Linked DNA regions of Cricetulus griseus. The protein of the gene in region 1 purifies or fractionates together with the protein of each later gene. This does not show direct contact. Links are inferred from orthologs where the notes say so. Each region holds a gene or a part of one and is shown in the gene's direction. Other genes may lie near its edges. The genes, in order: Dcaf1 and Cops6.

Evidence for each region.
Region 2: the proteins of Dcaf1 (region 1) and Cops6 purify together in Homo sapiens (affinity purification with mass spectrometry; 7 studies listed by BioGRID and IntAct, with this or other methods). This does not show direct contact. The link is inferred for Cricetulus griseus from reciprocal best matches to the Homo sapiens genes DCAF1 and COPS6.

Annotation. Positions count from the first base shown.
Region 1 is NC_048597.1:215,060,202-215,064,015, forward strand, and holds part of Dcaf1 (DDB1- and CUL4-associated factor 1), read left to right. Parts: intron 1-1,090; coding exon 1,091-1,249; intron 1,250-2,808; coding exon 2,809-2,988; intron 2,989-3,814. UniProt on the Homo sapiens protein: Acts both as a substrate recognition component of E3 ubiquitin-protein ligase complexes and as an atypical serine/threonine-protein kinase, playing key roles in various processes such as cell cycle, telomerase regulation and histone modification.
Region 2 is NC_048597.1:116,889,103-116,893,533, reverse strand, and holds the start of Cops6 (COP9 signalosome complex subunit 6), read left to right. Parts: upstream 1-1,360; 5' UTR 1,361-1,941; coding exon 1,942-2,068; intron 2,069-2,277; coding exon 2,278-2,400; intron 2,401-2,591; coding exon 2,592-2,723; intron 2,724-3,139; coding exon 3,140-3,228; intron 3,229-3,323; coding exon 3,324-3,386; intron 3,387-3,754; coding exon 3,755-3,802; intron 3,803-4,138; coding exon 4,139-4,253; intron 4,254-4,331; coding exon 4,332-4,424; intron 4,425-4,431. UniProt on the Homo sapiens protein: Component of the COP9 signalosome complex (CSN), a complex involved in various cellular and developmental processes.

The DNA of each region.
Region 1 (3,814 bases):
AGGGTGAGATGAAGTGGGTTTGTAGGTGGTGAGGACCCAAATGAAACTAGGTTTCTTGATAAATGGTAAGCCTACTTACTCTATTTCTCTACCTTTTGTGATTGTGAGTGGTCATGGTGGTGTGGTAGTAACATGAGAAAACGATTTGTGTGGCCTAAGTTACTGGGAATGGATACCTAGTTTAGCTGCTTCTTGAGGGAAGAATGGTAGAGGCCTTTATGATAAACAAGAGGATAATAAAGGAAAGGATTTGAATTTTATATAAGGCTTAGTCCAGCTCTAGGTGTTGAGAAGAGGGTAAATACCTGTTAATGGTGCCATTGACTTTATCTCTTCAAGTATGCAATTGCAGGCTTGTATTGTCTGTTCTGGAAACAGGAGGGGAGCTCTAGCTCTCCTGAGGCTGTCTTTGAGGCCCTGGGTTCAGAAATATGAAGACCATCCCACTTTTGTGGGACTTTCTGTCCTTAAAATAGTACAGATTGTTTCATCCTGAGAGACTGGTGGGAATTTTGAGCAGGAAATTAACAAAATTTAAACATTAAAAATTGGGTGTTGTGGTGCAAGCTGTAATCCCAGCTGTGGGGAGTCAGTGGGTTCAAGGCCAGTAGATAGCCTATCTAGAGCCAGTGAGATGGCTCAGCAGGTTAGGGCACTTGTTGCCAAGCCCTGATGAGCAGAGTTTGATCTCTGGGAACCATATGGTGGAAGGAGAAAACCAATTCCTGCAAGTTATTGTCTGACCTCCACATGTAACACCATAGCCACTCACGTAATAAATTCGTGTTTTATTTTTTTGTGTGTTGAGACAGGGTTTCTCTGTGGAACTTGCTCTGTAGACCAGGCCGGCCTCACACTGACAGAGATCCACCTGCCTCTGCCTCCCAAGTGCTGGAATTAAAGGCGTGCATCATCACTGTCTGACTACTCTACTATATATATATATATATATATATATATATATATATATATATATATATATGAATGAGGGTGGTTCTCTATTTAGATGACTCTATAGAAGTTAATATTGTGTTATGAGATTTGTGATGTTTTTGATTATTCCACTGTAACATGTGTCCTTACTGTTTAGCACCTAGCATCTCTCCTGCTCCATAACAAATTTGCCACAGAATTTGTTGCACATGGTGGAGTACAGAAATTACTGGAAATTCCTCGTCCTTCTATGGCTGCAACTGGTGTATCCATGTGCTTGTATTACCTGTCCTACAACCAGGATGCTATGGAAAGAGTAAGTCTAGTCCATTCAGGTGATGAGAATGGGATTTGATGGGGACCATCTCTTTAAAACAGCATATTCACATATGAATGTTTGGATAAGAAGAAGAAAGAAACAGTTGACAAGATGAAATTCTTATGAAAGACATGAAGAATAAGGATGTATATCTCCATAAAGCATCCTAAAATGTGAAATGGTTTAGAAAAAATTGACTCTACTGAGAAAGTGCAGGACAGATGTTTTACCAGCTTTATTTGTTTTTTTTTGTGATTTTTGTGGCATTACAATTAATAGGCACTTTTCATTTGTCAACTGTATTATATTTTAAAGTTAATTTATTATAAAAACTATATATGCTTTATATATGTTAAATAATTTGTGTTGGAGATAGTGAACTAATTTTAGCTGTTCTCATTCTTAGTTTGAGTCTTTTGTTTTTCCATTAAGTCTTTTATGTTAGTGATCATTTTTTAAAAAGTGAGTGGGCTATACATTTGAAAAGTGATGCTTCCCCTAGGTGTTTCTAGGAGAGGGCTTATCATTTCTGTACCAGGAACATTTTTCTAATATTTTGTATTGTACATGACTTTTTAAGTTAAGTATAGCTCTTGATTGTCTTGAGTGTTGTCTTTGTCTTTGCTAATTAATTAAGATAACCAATAGTTAAAATTTTACTTTTTGTGAATAGTAAACTATATGCTCAAAGTTAATTATGACTAAAATATAGAAAATAGTACCAGGCAAACCTAGGTAATGTTTGACGGTGTTTAATTTATAGGAAGCATACAGATGTATGAATCAGTAGAGCAGCTGATACATTTGTAGACTTAGTATCATCAGTAGGCTCAGCCACTTAAGAATGTCCTTGCTGGGCACGGTGGTGCATGCCTTTAATCCTTGTAGTTGGGAGCCAGAGGCAGGTGGATATCTGTGAGTTTGAGACCCATCTGGTCTACATAGTTGAATTCCAGGCCATAAAGTGAGACTGTAAAAGGTCCTTTGTAGCAGGAGTTCTAATTGGTCTTAATAATAAAAACCTCGAGTCAGATATCAGGGAGTGAAATTGAAAGGTCAGAGAAGTAGAGCTTTCAGCATTAGCGCTCTTATCTCTATAAAATTTCCATACCTTTGTAAAGAGTCCGAGCTACTGTCTCCTGCCTTATATTCCTCTGCCAAGCCATCTTACTTCCTGTTTGTCTGTACAGACCTCCAGACCTCTGTGATTAACTTTTCTGATCATCAGGCAAGGTTTATTTGTTAGAATACAAATAAGATATCACCACAGTCCTTAACGTCTCTGAGCATCTTATAATTGTTAAGCAAGATGTGTATACTTTATGCACCTAGTCATTTAGAAGCATTAAATGATATATTTTTGGCTCTTGGTAAGTATAGGTTGTACTTAATTAAATTTAGGTAGTTTTCAGGTTTGGAATGAATTATGCTCTAGAACTGATTTAGAATGATCACTGTATTCTGTAAACATTTCTGTCTACATTGGACAATTTTTCATCCCTTTTAAAGAAACCTTTGCTCCAAATGTTAAAATATATTTATTTACTTTTTTGCAGGTTTGCATGCATCCCCACAATGTTCTATCTGATGTGGTGAACTATACCCTATGGTTAATGGAATGTTCTCATGCTTCAGGATGCTGCCATGCTACAATGTTTTTCTCAATTTGCTTCTCATTCCGGGCTGTCTTGGAGCTCTTTGACCGTTATGATGGTCTTCGTCGCCTGGTGAACTTGGTGAGATTCTTCCACTGGCTCTTCAGTTAGCTGTTAGGAGTCCTGTTTATTTTGGCTATTCTGAAAGATACCACGTAAAAGAGAGGAAGTCCCCCTCCCCCTTTCTCTCCCTCTCTCTGGCTTTTGTGAGAAAAGGTAGTTTCATTATGTCACCTTGTTTGGAACTCCCTTTGTAGACCAGGCTGACATTGAACTTGTATCTAGTTTTCTGGCTCTGCTTCCAAGTGCTGGGAGTTGGATTGCAACTGTGGGCTACCACACACTGCAATTGGTTAATTTTGATCTTTTCAAATGGCAACAATTTTAGGCTGGTGTATTTTTGCTTTCCTTTCTAGTTGATTACCTTTTTAAAGATTTTACTCAATTTCATTTTATGTACATTGGTGTTTTGTCTGTGTTTGTGTCTTTGTGAGGGTGTTGGATCCCCGAAACTGGAGCCACAGACAGTTGTGAGCTGCCGTGTTGTACTGGGAATTGAACCTGGCTCCTCTGGAAGAGCAGCCAGTGCTCTTGCTGATCTCTCCAATCCTTCTTTTTTTGATTTTTAAGAAAATTTTTCTGTAGTTCAAGAGCCTTGAATTTGCTATGTAGATTGGCTGGCCTGAAACTTGGTATTTTCATGCCTCAGCCTCTCAAGTGTTTTGCTACAAGAGTACACCATCATACCTCATCTTCTCTATATATTTTAATATGATTAGATGATGTCATTTTTTCATTTCATATGACTGTTAGAATATGAAACTTGTCAGTACTGTTGAATATAAACATTTACCAAATGTTTTTTTTTAATCTTTTTACTTTTCTGTGTGCTCTTTCCCCATCTCCT
Region 2 (4,431 bases), about 98 Mb from region 1:
ATTAAAGGCGTGCGCCACCAGCACTCAGCTATGAAGTAAGCTTTTCTATAGGACTCATATGCTATCTGATGATATTCTTAGCTTTTGGGTCAGCGCGTGTGCACATGCCCGCAAACACACACACACAAACACACATTGAAAATAAGTAAGTAAATAAAAATCATCTCCCATGTGTAACTAACATCTGAAAAATTCATTCTGAGACAGATGAAGGGGACCTAGTTCTCCTTGGGCCCTAGACAGGTGTTAAGCATTTTAAAAATAGTGTTAAATTGCTGTTAGCATTAACGTTTCTTTGTCTTGTTTTTCTTCTAATGGTAACCGCTTTAAGTTTATAGCATAGCCGGGCGTTGGTGGTCGATGGGGGCCATTTTTTTTTTTTTTTTTAAGATTTACTTCTGTGTGCATTGATGTTTTGCCTGAATGTATGCCTGTGTGAGGGTGTCAGGTCTCCTGGAACTGGAGTTACAAGTTGTGAGCTGCCATGTGGGTGATGGGAATTGAACCGGGGACCTCTGGAAAAACAGCCAATGCTCTTAACCTCTAAGCCATCTCTCCAGCCTATCAGGGGCCATTCTTATTCAAACCACCACAACACTGCACCTTCCCTATTGGTACAATCAAGCAGGATAAAGGCTTCTCTTATGTGATTTGCTGGCGGCAGCTTGATGGCTAGAGTCCTCTGCCAGAAAAGTGGTGGAGACTTCTACAAAGTTGCTTGATCACTGTGTTGTGGTTTGAAAGAAAATGGTTCCCAAAGGGAGTGGCACTATTAAGAGATATAGCCTTATTGGGGGAAGTATGTCACTGGGTAGGCGGGGGTGGGGTGGGTGGCAGGGGGTGGGCAGGAGGGCTTTGAGGTCTCTTTTGCTCAAGCTTCCTGCAGTGTGACTGTCAGTCACTTTCCTGTTGCCTGCAAGATGTAGGACTCTCAGCTACTCCAGCCCCACATCTGCCTGCACACTGCCATGCTCTGTCATGATGATAATGGACTGATCTTCTGAAACTGTAAGTGAGCCCCCTCAATTAAATGTTTTCCTTATAAGATTTGCCATCGTGATGGTGTCTCTTCACAGTGATAGAGACCCTAAGACAATTACTGAAGAGGTTCTGCCAGTAAGTAGCAGATACCACACCAGTGTGGCCCCAGATTCACCTGGCACCCATCCCACTGTGTGCCCAAAGTTCTCCCAGTAGCAGTCACTAAGTTGTGTAAGGAGTCAGGTTGCCCTGCCACTGAAGCAGCTAAACAGTTCAAGAGCAGTCACAGCTGAGGAGGTGGCTCAATGATAATGTGTTAGGATCTGAGTTTAAATCCCCAACACACACACAAAAGCTAGGCTTGCTGAGCATGGTGGCGCACGCACGCCTTTAATCCCAGCATTCAGGAAACAGAGGCAGGCGCATCTCTGTGAGTTTGAAGTCAGCCTGCTCTAAGAGCAAGTTCCCAGCCAGATGGGCTACACAGTGAGGTCCTATGTCAACAAACAAACAAGTGACCAAGTTCCTGCATACAGATTATATGCAACATGAAAAAGTTTAATATCTTGAATAAATTGCTTTCCACATCCTGCTAACAGCCTTGCTTCCTTTTGGTTGCAATTTTCTGGCTCCAGTACATACAATGCACCCACTGAGCGCTGGAAACGAACAGCCCTACTCTCCAGTGACTTCTGGCTGACCCAAGGCCTAGTGACTCTGCGCTTTGAGCATAAAATACCAGGGCTTGTTGATGCACACCTGTAATAACAGTACTTGGGAGGTGATGGCAGGCGGATCAAAGTGGAAGTCATCCTCAGATACACAATACAGAGTTCAAGGCCATGCTAGGTTACTTGAGAACAGGTAACAGCAACACAGTACGACGTGCTCTTGGACATCCAGGACTACCAAGGACTGGCAGATGCCCCGCCCTTTAGCAGCGCCAAGCACATACTGAGCATGCGCCGCTCGCCGACGGAAGCCGGGAAGGAAGGGGGCGGGCCGTGGCTGGCGGGCGCGGGGAAAATGGCGGCGGCGGCTGCGAACGGGAGCGGAGGCAGCAGCGGCATGGAGGTGGATGCAGCAGGTAACGGGCTGTGCGGAGCGACTTCTGGCATCGCCCTTGCGGAGTATCTTGAGTACTACCTAAGCCCGGGAGAAGCGACAGACAGCTGTCCCAGCGTAACTTGCGGGCAGGGATGGACGGCCCGGCTGCGCCGGTCCCCTACTCCCATGTCTAGGAGAGAATGTGAGGGCCCGAGCTTTCACCGCTGTGTTTTCCTTTACCTTTCACAGCCCCCAGCGTGATGGCCTCTGGAGTGACTGGGAGTGTTTCCGTCGCTCTTCATCCCCTTGTCATCCTCAACATCTCCGACCACTGGATCCGCATGCGCTCCCAGGAGGGGCGGCCTATGCAGGGTGAGGGCTGTGTGTAGACCTCAAACCCTCCTCTTGGAGACCTCCTCCAATCACTTTTCCCTCGCCTCCCACTTCTTCCAAATTAGTTCCCTCAATCATTGATTCACACTGACCTCAGAGTCTTGGGTTATGAGGAAAGATTTTGGATGCCTGTTCCCTCACCTATCTTTGGTGTGCTTCTCTCCTCTCAGTGATTGGGGCTTTAATCGGGAAGCAGGAGGGGCGAAATATCGAAGTGATGAACTCTTTTGAGCTGCTGTCCCACACCGTGGAAGAGAAGATTATCATTGACAAGGAATATTACTACACCAAGGAGGAGCAGTGTGAGAGGGGATACAAGTGGGTGGGAAAGAGAAGTGAAGTGGGAAGATTTGGGGGGGCAGGGGTTGGGTTGGTCTTAAGTAAAAGTGCATTGCTTCTCGTCCTTTTGGCTAAGATAAATGTAAGATAAAAGTGCTGGGGATGTAGGACAGTGGGTATAGTGCTTGCCCTAACATGCAAGAAGCCCAGAGTTAAGTCCTCGAGTATCATATAAACCAGGAGATGGAGACAGGAGATCAGAAATAAAAGGTTATTTTCAGCAAGTAAAGGATGAGCGATGGCAGAGTGTAGTTACTCCAAACTGAGCCAAAATTTGAGGAGGGAGGGAAGAACTGGTGAGGAAAAAAAGAAATACACCAAAGTCAGTGAAACGAAGAGCGGTTTAAAGAAATATTGTTTACATTGGCCCCTTCTTCAGTTAAACAGGTGTTCAAGGAGCTGGAGTTTCTGGGTTGGTATACCACAGGGGGGCCGCCTGACCCCTCCGACATCCACGTCCATAAGCAGGTATACAGGTTCAAATGTGTACATGTTGGGGAAGAGAACCAAACATAAGAGGAAGAAAGGTTGACTTTTGGGGGGTGCCTTCTCTTTTCTTTTAGGTGTGCGAGATAATTGAGAGCCCCCTCTTTCTGAAGTTGAACCCCATGACCAAGCACACAGATGTGAGTATTGCTGACCCTATGTCCCCTTTGTCTTTATCATCTACCACTCTGCCTGCTTTTGATCCTCATGCTCTGCTGTAATTTACTGTGTGACATCATCTGTATTAGAGAATGCTTGAGTTGAATGTCTACCATGCTGCTAGTTACCCATCAATTCTATGATGTCATCTTGTAAGTGGCACTTTCATATGTAATGTGGGTATGTTTTGGGGAAAATTGAAAAGGTGAGCCAAGTGTGTCCACATACTTTTAATCAGTTTTAGCACTCAGAAGGTTGAGGCAGGATTGTGAGTTCCAGGCCAGCCTGGCACATGTTTAAGTTCAAGTGCATTTGCTCTTAGTAAGAGTTGTCTCCATCTGTCTTACAGCTTCCTGTCAGCGTTTTTGAGTCTGTCATCGATATAATCAATGGAGAGGTAATACCTACCCTGCAACCTTCAATTCCTGCTTTTAGCCTGTTTCCTGCATGCCATGCACATGTATGCAGTCACAGGACCACCCTGGATGTCCATCCTTACTTTCTACTTTGTTTGAGACAGCATCTTGTTTGCCAGGCTGGTTGCCTGGGGGTTTCTGGGAATTGTGCCCTACTTCTGGTCTTGTAGGAGTGCTGGGGGTACAGACACATTCTTACCACATCTAGCTTACTGTGGGTTCTGAGGATCTAAAGTCAGATCCTCAGGGTTGTGCAGCCATCTGCTCCTTTGTTTCCGATTCTGACTCTTCTCATGTGGGAACCCTTTGCTCTGCAGGCTACAATGCTGTTTGCTGAGCTCACGTACACACTGGCCACTGAGGAAGCTGAACGTATCGGTGTAGACCATGTGGCACGGATGACAGCAACAGGCAGTGGGGAGAACTCCACTGGTAAGGGAGGTGAATTCTTTCGAAGTGTGGGGTGGCTGTGGTCACATACTGTCTTTCATTTGCCGCATTCCCCTGCAGTGGCCGAACACCTGATAGCTCAGCATAGTGCCATCAAGATGCTGCACAGCCGCGTGAAGCTCATTTTAGAGTATGTCAAGGCCTCAGAAGCAGGTAGGAC